Schizosaccharomyces pombe: one gene and its partner. Changing the gene in region 2 together with the main gene of any one other region gives a genetic interaction. Each region holds a gene or a part of one and is shown on either strand. Other genes may lie near its edges. The genes, in order: otg1 and gmh4.

Evidence for each region.
Region 1: mutations in gmh4 (region 2) and otg1 impair growth when combined (synthetic growth defect), as found in Schizosaccharomyces pombe (one study listed by BioGRID).

The regions. Positions count from the first base shown.
Region 1 is NC_003424.3:165,132-169,878, forward strand, and holds otg1 (alpha-1,3-galactosyltransferase Otg1), read right to left. Parts: upstream 2,609-4,747; 5' UTR 2,405-2,608; coding exon 1,289-2,404; 3' UTR 683-1,288; downstream 1-682. Other genes in the region: alpha-1,2-galactosyltransferase Gmh1, read left to right, coding at 1-586; alpha-1,2-galactosyltransferase Gmh2, read right to left, coding at 3,679-4,719.
Region 2 is NC_003423.3:1,387,597-1,392,462, reverse strand, and holds gmh4 (alpha-1,2-galactosyltransferase Gmh4), read right to left. Parts: upstream 2,928-4,866; 5' UTR 2,281-2,927; coding exon 1,370-2,280; intron 1,317-1,369; coding exon 1,241-1,316; 3' UTR 797-1,240; downstream 1-796. Other genes in the region: SPOM_SPBC8D2.18C (adenosylhomocysteinase), read left to right, coding at 1-796; SPOM_SPBC8D2.16C (uncharacterized protein), read left to right, coding at 3,726-3,851, 3,895-4,716.

The DNA of each region.
Region 1 (4,747 bases), on a different chromosome or scaffold from region 2:
TGTATGGGGAAAGATGCCCGCAATTCTACAAACAATGCGCAAGTATCCATCCGCAAAATGGATCTGGTGGCTAGATCAGGATGCTCTTATAATGAACAAAAATCTGTCCTTACAGGAATTATTTCTCTCACCTGCAATGCTCCAAAAATCATTGCTTAGGGAGCAACCAATTATAAACTCTTTCGGAGAAGATAATTTCAGAATCACTCCAGCGGCTTACTCCAAGGAAATGATAGAACAAATACAATTTCTAATTTCTCAGGATCATAACGGATTGAATGCAGGAAGCTTTTTAGTACGAAATTCAAGATCCATCGCTTTACTAATGGATTTATTGACTGATCCTTCTTTGGCAGATGCAGGAGTCGTGCGTCATGAACAAGATTTGATCGGCTATTTCATTCAAAAACACTCGCAGGTAGCTTCCATGGTTGGCATTCTTCCTCAAAGATTTATCAATGCTTTTCATGAAGGACCCCCTACAATGCAATGGCAAGAAGGAGATCTAGCTCTTCATTTCGCTGGATGTTGGGTTGAAAACAAATGCGCCGAGTTATGGACTAAATACAAAGATAAAATAATTTAAAAGGCTAAATCAATGCCCAAGTGTCGGCGCGTTATAGCCTCTAACATTTTCAATTGCATTTACAGTTAATTTATTATTACTATTTATCTTTTACTTCGTTATATTAATGCCGTCTTATTTAAACATAAATGATTCGCTCCATAAATAATTATGAAGCTGCACATTTTTACAAATCTAATTAATTTTCTTAAAAAAGAATAAATTCTATAAAATGCTTCAAAAACAACCCTCTAGACATAAAGTATCTTTTTCTAAAAAATATTAATGTCTAACACTAATTAAACTATCCTGTTTGGACCTCAGGCTAGTTTAAGCATCAAAAATTGCTAAACGCTTGTGATAATAATTAAAATTGGGGTTTGTTCATAAGGTCTAATGAGTCCATAATGAAGGAGAGATGAGAGGTATATTAAAATCAACCGCAAGTCCAAAATTATATTCTAAAAATAGGCTGACCGAAAGCAAATCACCGCTAACGGGATTTATAGACAGACGCAGGTAATAAAGTTGTATACATAGCCAGCAATCAAAGAAAGCTGAAGAGATCTAAACAATGTGCGTTTAGACAATAAGGATAGCAAGTCTAAAATAAAATTATGGTAATAAGTTAAAGAAATTTTCAAATATATAACATACAATTAGATTTTAACTTCTAATTGTAAAATAAGGTCACAATACAGAAAAAAGAAAGGTATTCCTCCTTTAATGAGTTTCATACTTATGAAAAGACAGCATTTCGCCATAAGCAGCATACCAGTCAGCTAAATATACTGGTGCAAATTCTGAGCTACCAATATTCCAGAATTTTCCGTGTGCTGTTTTTAAGAGAGGACGTTCGTCAATTGAGGGCCACACGCCATTGTAATAAGGATCAAGACGAGTCCAGGGAAACCATCCGTCCAAGGAAAATGCAAGATTCAACAAGCTTTGCTCCATCATTTTGGCATTCTCATACATATAAGGAAACCTTCCGATTTTAAGTATACGGTTAAAATGAAGCTCGCTTGGACGTATAAGCATTAAGCCAGCATTGAAATAAGGAGTATCTTCTGGAGGTATACTATGATGCTCTCCTCTATCAGAGACGGCTGCGAGAAGATAAGGGTAAAATTCGCTTCGACTGGCACCATATTCTTTAAAATCCTCATTGAAGTGATAGACGGTATCATCATCAGGCTTCGTGTAGGAAGGTAGCCGTGTATAGTTCAAGGTATTAATTTGTTGGTACATATAAGGAGTATCAAATATATCATCAATGTTCTTCATGATCAATATATCACTGTCAATTACGCAAATTTTGTCAAATTGTATTTGTTCGAAAATTCGCAACTTCGAAAACATTTGTTCATATCTAGCAGATATTTCTTGACTAAATGAGGATGTATCGTATACAATATCCGATGAAGCAATGGGGTCTATAACAATCACAGAAGCACCATCCTTTCGAAAACGTTCAATTTTCCACTCATCTACTCCACGGAGTGCAAGGATATGGATAGGGTATTTACTTTTGGTAGTAGGATGATATTTCAATCGGTGAATTAAAACCCTAGTAGCGTTGAAGTAGTAATCCTCTTCAGTAGAAGGCATAGTAAACAAACTCATATACGTATATTTGCCAGGCTCTTCTTTTAAGACGGCATTATCATTTTCCTCAACAAAGTTGTTTTTTAATGAAGTAAGCCGGTCATTAAGGGTTTGCTTATAATCGTGTCCGTTAAACACTAAGGTTGTCATCACAATAATCAAAACCACAGAAAACAACAGGAATTTGTAACGCGGAAGAGATAAAAAATTTGAAAGTGAAATTCGAGACATGATAAGAGATTAATTCAACGAACCGCTGAAACAATAGAATTTGAGACACGTGAAATTTTCGAAAGCCTTAAAAAAATGAAAAAAGGCTCTAAAGATGACTCCCTTTATGAGGATGTTACCCTCTAAAATTTATTTATTTCTTTTACCCTTAAACGACTTGCGTTAACAACCCTTTAAAGAAAAAATATCCGAGATTTATGTTTCATCACGCGGGTTGCTCTGCATTTGTCAATTTATTACCAGCACGTTGTTTGTACCATGTGCCGCGCTATATTCAGTTACAGTATTGTAATTCAAATTGTGGAATTGCCTTTTACAAATCCTAACGCTTTGTTTTTTCACAATCATCTTAGTTTGTGTGTAATGGTGTCAACTTTCGAGCTATCTGGATGTTGAAAATTATGAGCTTAAGCATGTAATAGAAATTGACACTAATGAATTAATTTGGTGAAGTTGTTTCAAACAGTGAAAAATCTGACTGTTAGCTGGAAAAGTATTGGAAATACCATTTAGCTTATTGGTAAAGTAAATATTGTGTAAATTTAACGAAATATATTTTGTCGATAAATCTATTCAAATATTCTTTCTCCTTGACCTGATAGACCTCATTAATCGGAAAATGCTTCTAGGTTTGTAAAGACACAAGTGTAAACAGTGGGTGCACAGACGTAATGGAACCACCGTTAAAAAATACATCTTTTAGACTTAGCAACTAATCTATATCTTTATAAGGCCAAAAGCCAGTGTAATCAATATAAAATAAGGACATACCAATACTTTGTAGGGCCAAAAAACAAGATAAATAAAAACTTAGTATAATCCGACACGAATGATTCAATAAAACTTCTATCAGCATTTAACAGAAAATGGCAGCTGCGGTGAAATGCAAATTATTAAAAAGATTTATTAACGCCAAACTGTTATTCCAATCTTCAATATTGCATTGGTAAATTGCCAAAGCAAATTAGTTGAACCAACAGAAACAGCTTCAAAGTCAATGTGAAATATATACAATATATAACAATTATTGATGGACGATTGTGTAAAACAAAACTCCCAGATATCTCGCTATAAAAAACTAACCTGAAACTTTGATTGCTATGGCACAACCGCTATATTAATTAGGTATGTAAAGATTAAAAAATAGTAAACATTATTAGAGATTCAGATAAAGAAAGGAAGATTGACGGAAAATTATACGGCGCTTTGTTTATATATATAAAATTTTTTAAAACACAAACAAATTAAACAGACGGATATAATGAATAAGCAACTTAGTCAATCAAGGCGTAAAACTTTTGCCATAGTTCATCGCAGCGGTTTTCAACCCAACATCCAGCAAAGTGAATTACCAAATCACCTTTTTGCCATTCCATATTTTCCGGACCTTCGTGAAAAGCATTTATTTTTCTTTGAGGAATAAGGCCAACCAGCGAAGCAAGTTGTGAATGCTTAGAAATCAAATATCCAAGCATGTCTTGTTCATTATTGGCTTTCGCACATTCTGCAACAACAGGATCTGTCCAAATATCCAAAAACAAGGCAGTAGCAGGTGAATTACGGAACAAGATACTACCTGCGTTTAATCCATTGTGATCCTGTGAGATTATGACCATGAGATTTTCGATATCTTTTAAACTATAATTACTTGGTGTATAACGCAAATCCCCGTTAGCATTTATAGGCCGTTTAGTGAGGATGGTATTAGTAATTAAGGTCTTTTGCAAGTTCTCAGGTTTCAAAAAGGAGTCTTGAAGGGAAAGATGGGTATTAGTAATAATTGCATCCTGATCCAACAACCAGATCCATTCCGCTTTGGGGTATTTCTTCATAGTTTGTAAGACGGCGGGCATCTTGGACCAAACGGCGGGAATAGGGAGGCCAGTAACATTGACATACTCAAAGTTGTAGTTTTGTTTGGTACTATAGTCAACTCTGTTCTGTATAGCTTCTTCAAACGTATTAGCTCCATTATTGTAAGAAGTGTGTCCATCACTAACTAGTAATAAGACAATATTTTGACTGGCAGGATTTTGCTGAGGCTCTGACTCGTATGACGCCTCGTGGAATGTAGTGCTTGTGGCCACCAAATGAGAGTCTAACGGCGCCAACTCAAACGAGTGATTAACGGATGGAGTGCCAATAGCATCGGAGAGCATGGGTGCAATTTGCTGATCATACAACTGGTTAACCTTCGACACCAAATCAACGTCCACAAAATATATCAACGAGTATAGAAACGCGCCAGCAATCAAGCCGACCGTTAAAAATAAGAAAAAAAAACGACGTGGAATCCTGGATAACATAAGTGCCATCTTTAGGTTATAACAATTCTTCAGTAAA
Region 2 (4,866 bases):
CAAGGAGAACAAGCTTAAGGTTCCTGCTATTAACGTTAACGACTCTGTTACCAAGTCCAAGTTTGACAATCTTTTTGGATGCAAGGAGTCCTTGGTGGATGGTATCAAGCGTGCCACTGATGTTATGATTGCTGGTAAAGTTGCTGTTGTTGCTGGTTTTGGTGATGTTGGTAAAGGTTGTTCAACTTCTCTTCGTAGCCAAGGTGCCCGTGTCATTGTCACTGAAGTCGATCCCATCAATGCCCTTCAAGCCGCTATGGACGGTTTCGAAGTCACCACTATGGAAGAGGCTGTTAAGGAAGGTCAAATCTTTGTTACCACCACTGGTTGCCGTGACATTATTCGTGGTGAGCACTTCAACGAAATGAAGGAGGACTCTATCGTTTGTAACATTGGTCATTTTGATGTCGAGATCGATGTCGCTTGGTTGAAGGCTAACGCTAAGGATGTTGTTAACATCAAGCCCCAGGTTGATCGTTATGAATTGAAGAACGGTCGTCATATCATTCTTTTAGCTGATGGTCGTCTCGTTAACCTTGGTTGTGCCACCGGACATCCCTCTTTTGTTATGTCCTGCTCTTTCACTAACCAGGTCCTTGCCCAAATCGCTTTGTGGACCGATAACACCAGCTATCCTCTTGGTGTTCATATGCTTCCCAAGAAGTTGGATGAGGAGGTTGCCCGTCTTCATTTGGGTAAACTCGGTGTCAAACTTACTACTTTGACTTCTGTTCAATCCGACTACTTGGGTATCCCTGTTGACGGTCCTTACAAGGCTGATCACTATCGTTACTAATCTATTCTTATCATTTAGTTTATAGAATTTATTTTGAAGTTATAATTACTTTAAAAATGTTTCAGCCTCTTTTTTTTGCATGAGTGATGTTTCAACAGCATCTATGTCTCTATGTCGCCATGAAATGCATTAATGTTATTCAACTGGGTTTATGTGGATTTCAGGTCAAACATAATAAATGTTTCTTTCTTTGCATAGAATAGCAATTAACGTGCTTTCATTAAGAAGATTTGATGAATATAACATATGAATTGCTTGACTTGTAAACCAATCTGCGATGTATTTCCGTAAACGAAAAACATATCTTCCCTTGATCAAACAAAGGAAATTAAGTATAAATTCATTAAATTAATGTAGGAATATGCAAACCACCGAATTTGAAAGATAGGTTTAGATGAAGATGAGTTACTGGAAATGAAAGTAAGATGCTAAGACAGTACTAACCTACGATTGTTCATCAACCGTTTCTTCCGAAAGCTGCTTTTTAATGGCTGGAAGTTTTCTCTGTTGATAGTAGTTGCTGGAAGTGTTAGTAAAAATACAAGAGACCAAGATGATAAATAGAATACATACTCGAATATACGCTCGCATGCAGCAGCGTTCTCACAGTCCTGAAGAATAACCAAGAAATCACCTTCTTCGTAATTCAAATCGACCGCAGAGTTGGTGTATGAATTTAAAACTTTAGGAGACACAAGTGCAACATGATCCAAGATAGTGTTATGTGCTTCCAATAAGTGGGATAGCGCAGATCGCTCAGCTTGATCAAAACCGGCGGATTTCAACAAAGGTTCATTCCAAGCATCTAAAAGAAATGGCGCAAAGTTGTTATTTTTAATAAGCAAAGAACGCGTACTAATTCCATTATAATCACTGGTGGTAATTACAAATACATCAGATGGATCCATTTTACGGCGTGTACGGATGTAGTTCTTTAATGGATCGATCGGAGAATTAAGAAGCAAATGCTGCGACAGTTTTTCTGGTTTCAAGACCCTATCCTTGAGAGATTCGGAAGGATTCATTATAACAGCCTTTGCATCGAGCAACCATATCCAGCCAGCGTCGGGATACTCAGCCAAAGTTTCCCTCAAAGCTGGGATAATACTCCAAGTACCATAGACACCATACCTCGCTTGAATATCGCGGGCTTTCTTGTGGACTAGGGTATAGCCATGACGCAAGGCATACTCTGTACGATCAGAAAGCACTTTATCCAGGAAGACAGAGCTGGAGTCAGATCTACTTGAATCATAATGGTCGTCAAAACTAACAATCAACATGACTACGGAATCAGGATCTTGTGGAGATGTTTTCGCCTTAGAAACACCTTTGTATGAAGAGGAATGGGCACTGGGAGAACCAATCGAATTGGAATAAACAGGCATTGAAGACTTTAAAGAATAAAAGCCAAAAAGCAATAAAACGATGGCCAAGAGACCTAAACTTTTTCCTCTACGAGAAAATAAACGAAAGTTGAACATCTTGCAGAATACAAAGTAAAAAAGTGCAAAACAAACAGTTTGCGAGAAAAAATGAGTTGGTTATGCGCGTCTATGGAACAAGATAACGGTTTAAAAGAATAAACCTTAGGGGTTTTTTAAATGTGCAAATAATGTAGAAAAGAAGGTAAGAGAATATCTGTAAATCGAGAAGGTATAAATAGAGAAGAGAAAAAAAGGTATAAAGATCTGGGTCGTAAAGAAAATGGAATATATATGGCCCTTTTTTAAATGCAAATAAATGATCCAACGATATATACGCGAGTATATCCGAAAATTAAAACAGTAAAGATGTTACAGAGGGCGTTTTCACTAAGAAATACGAAAAACCGGATAATGAAAGAAACCTTGCGAGAACACAACGCCTAGCTTTCAAAATGAGCCTTTTTGTCAAGCTATATCGGCGATATTTAAAAAAGAGGAAGATTCTACAATTTAAACAACAATAGATTATAGCTTATCCTGACAACAATCCTTTTACACCGTTTCAAAGACTACGAGTCAAGATGGACTGGTTATTGATATTGAATATGATTTTTACAGAAATCAGGATCCACCCAACCACGTACTAAGAGCAGAGAAACGTTGCTTTTATAATTGGCAGCAACTTGGCTGTATTTGTAGTCTGCGTGTTCGACATTCGAAGGATTTTGATTAACGTGTACGATGCATCCTACCTAACGTACTCTAACGTGTTTTTAGATTTTTTTAGTGATATTGAAATTATACTTTAAACTGTTATAGCGTTATACCCGGTGCTACTCATTATATAGCGAAAATCATAAAAGTAAATAGTAAATAGAGTAAGATTGAAGATGAATTGAATCAGAGTCGATGAACTTCTATTGACTTAAAAAATTATGTATGTAATTAATAAAATATCATCTTGTTTTTTCTACTAACAAATTTTTACAGCGGTTATATACAAGCTTCGGCGTGTATAGTTGGTTTATATAAATTGCAAGCAAAGTGTACACCATTTTTTTTATTATTTCCATATAAAGAAAAAAAAAAAAAAAAAAAAAGGGGATTCTATAGCCCTTTGGTATTTACGAAGACTCATTGATAGTTTAAATCGCACTCATTGAATGGCATTAAACACATTTGTTTGTTTGAATTTTTTTCATTGTTTATGAAGTACAGGATTTTTTTTTTTACCTATCAATAAAAGTATTGATATAAAATATCCCTTTACCTTGATCAATACTTCAAAAAAAATTTAAAATTAGTTTAATTATATTAAATGGACGGTTTTTAGCCTGGTAAATGAAATTCATGCCTTTACTCTTCACCAACTTTTTAAGACGTTAAAATTTTTATAAAAAGCCAAATCCTAATATTCTGTTTCCCAAGACAGCAAAAAGTAAATAAAATACTGCTACTTGGGCCATATTATTACTTCTCATTAATTGCTTACAGAAACTGCTATGGAAAAAGAAAGCGAAATACAAAGCTTACCACCAACGAGACGATATACGATATCTTTAGCATTACCTATTTCAAGTCTAAATGTAGCATACAATTTGCAGCTTAAAACGAGTTTTGTCTGGAAGGTTTGAAAGATTCGTTGTTGTCGCGTATTAACTCAAAATATAGATTTCGAGAATAGTTTCTCTATATGGTATTGACGAAATTATTTTGCTAGAGGACCCTGAATATGTGCAAAACACCCAGGTACATACACTTTCCTCTGATGCTTATTTAAAGGATCCCACAAAATTTCTCACGGACTTATTATGCTATTTCGAAACGCCTTTCTTTATGAGGAAGGAATTGTTTCCACTAAATCCACATCTAAAATATACTAGCTGCTTTCCATTACTTCCCCTCAGAAATGACAAGGCTAGCACAGTGAATATTGAATTCCCATACCGAGAGGGAATCGTTACTCATCCATCTCCGCAAGCAAAGAATAAATATATTATAAATGCTGGACTATCTCACAATGTAATCGTTTCCAGCCCCAGCGTCCTTGCTCCTAGAACAAGGGTCACGGTTCGATTAAAAGCGCAGTCTCCAAACGAAGAAGGCCAGCTTCAAGGTGATATCGTGTCTTTTTCAGCTCCACGAGAAAAAGGTGGTCATTATTGGGGTTACAAGGTGCGGTCATGTCTTTCTTCTCAGCTGTGTAAAAGTTCTCCTTACAAAGGTGGATATGACTTTGTTGTTCAAATCAACAGTCAGACTTCAGCTATTACTTCAAAAGAGTTAGAAGCGAGTTTACCAAGTTCGTTTCGGCATGCTGTTCTTGTTTTACAAGACAATGTCGTACAAAAAGAGCTCGTAGACTCCACTGCCAAAAGTATTTCTTTTAACCCATTCCCAGTTTCTTTTCTAAATGATCCCATTCCTGAAGAGATACTTTTGGCGGCCATGACCCGTTTGTCAGATATGTTGCTGATGCATGGACGACGATAAAGCCTAAATACTTACAAAGGTGAAGCTGTCTTTTTCTTACTTAAATATTATAAAGCTGTCTCGCTAATCAAGGAAAACAAAATCAATTTTGAATATGATAAATTATAAGGATAACTTGGGTATAAAGACGATATTAGAAACTAAGACGAG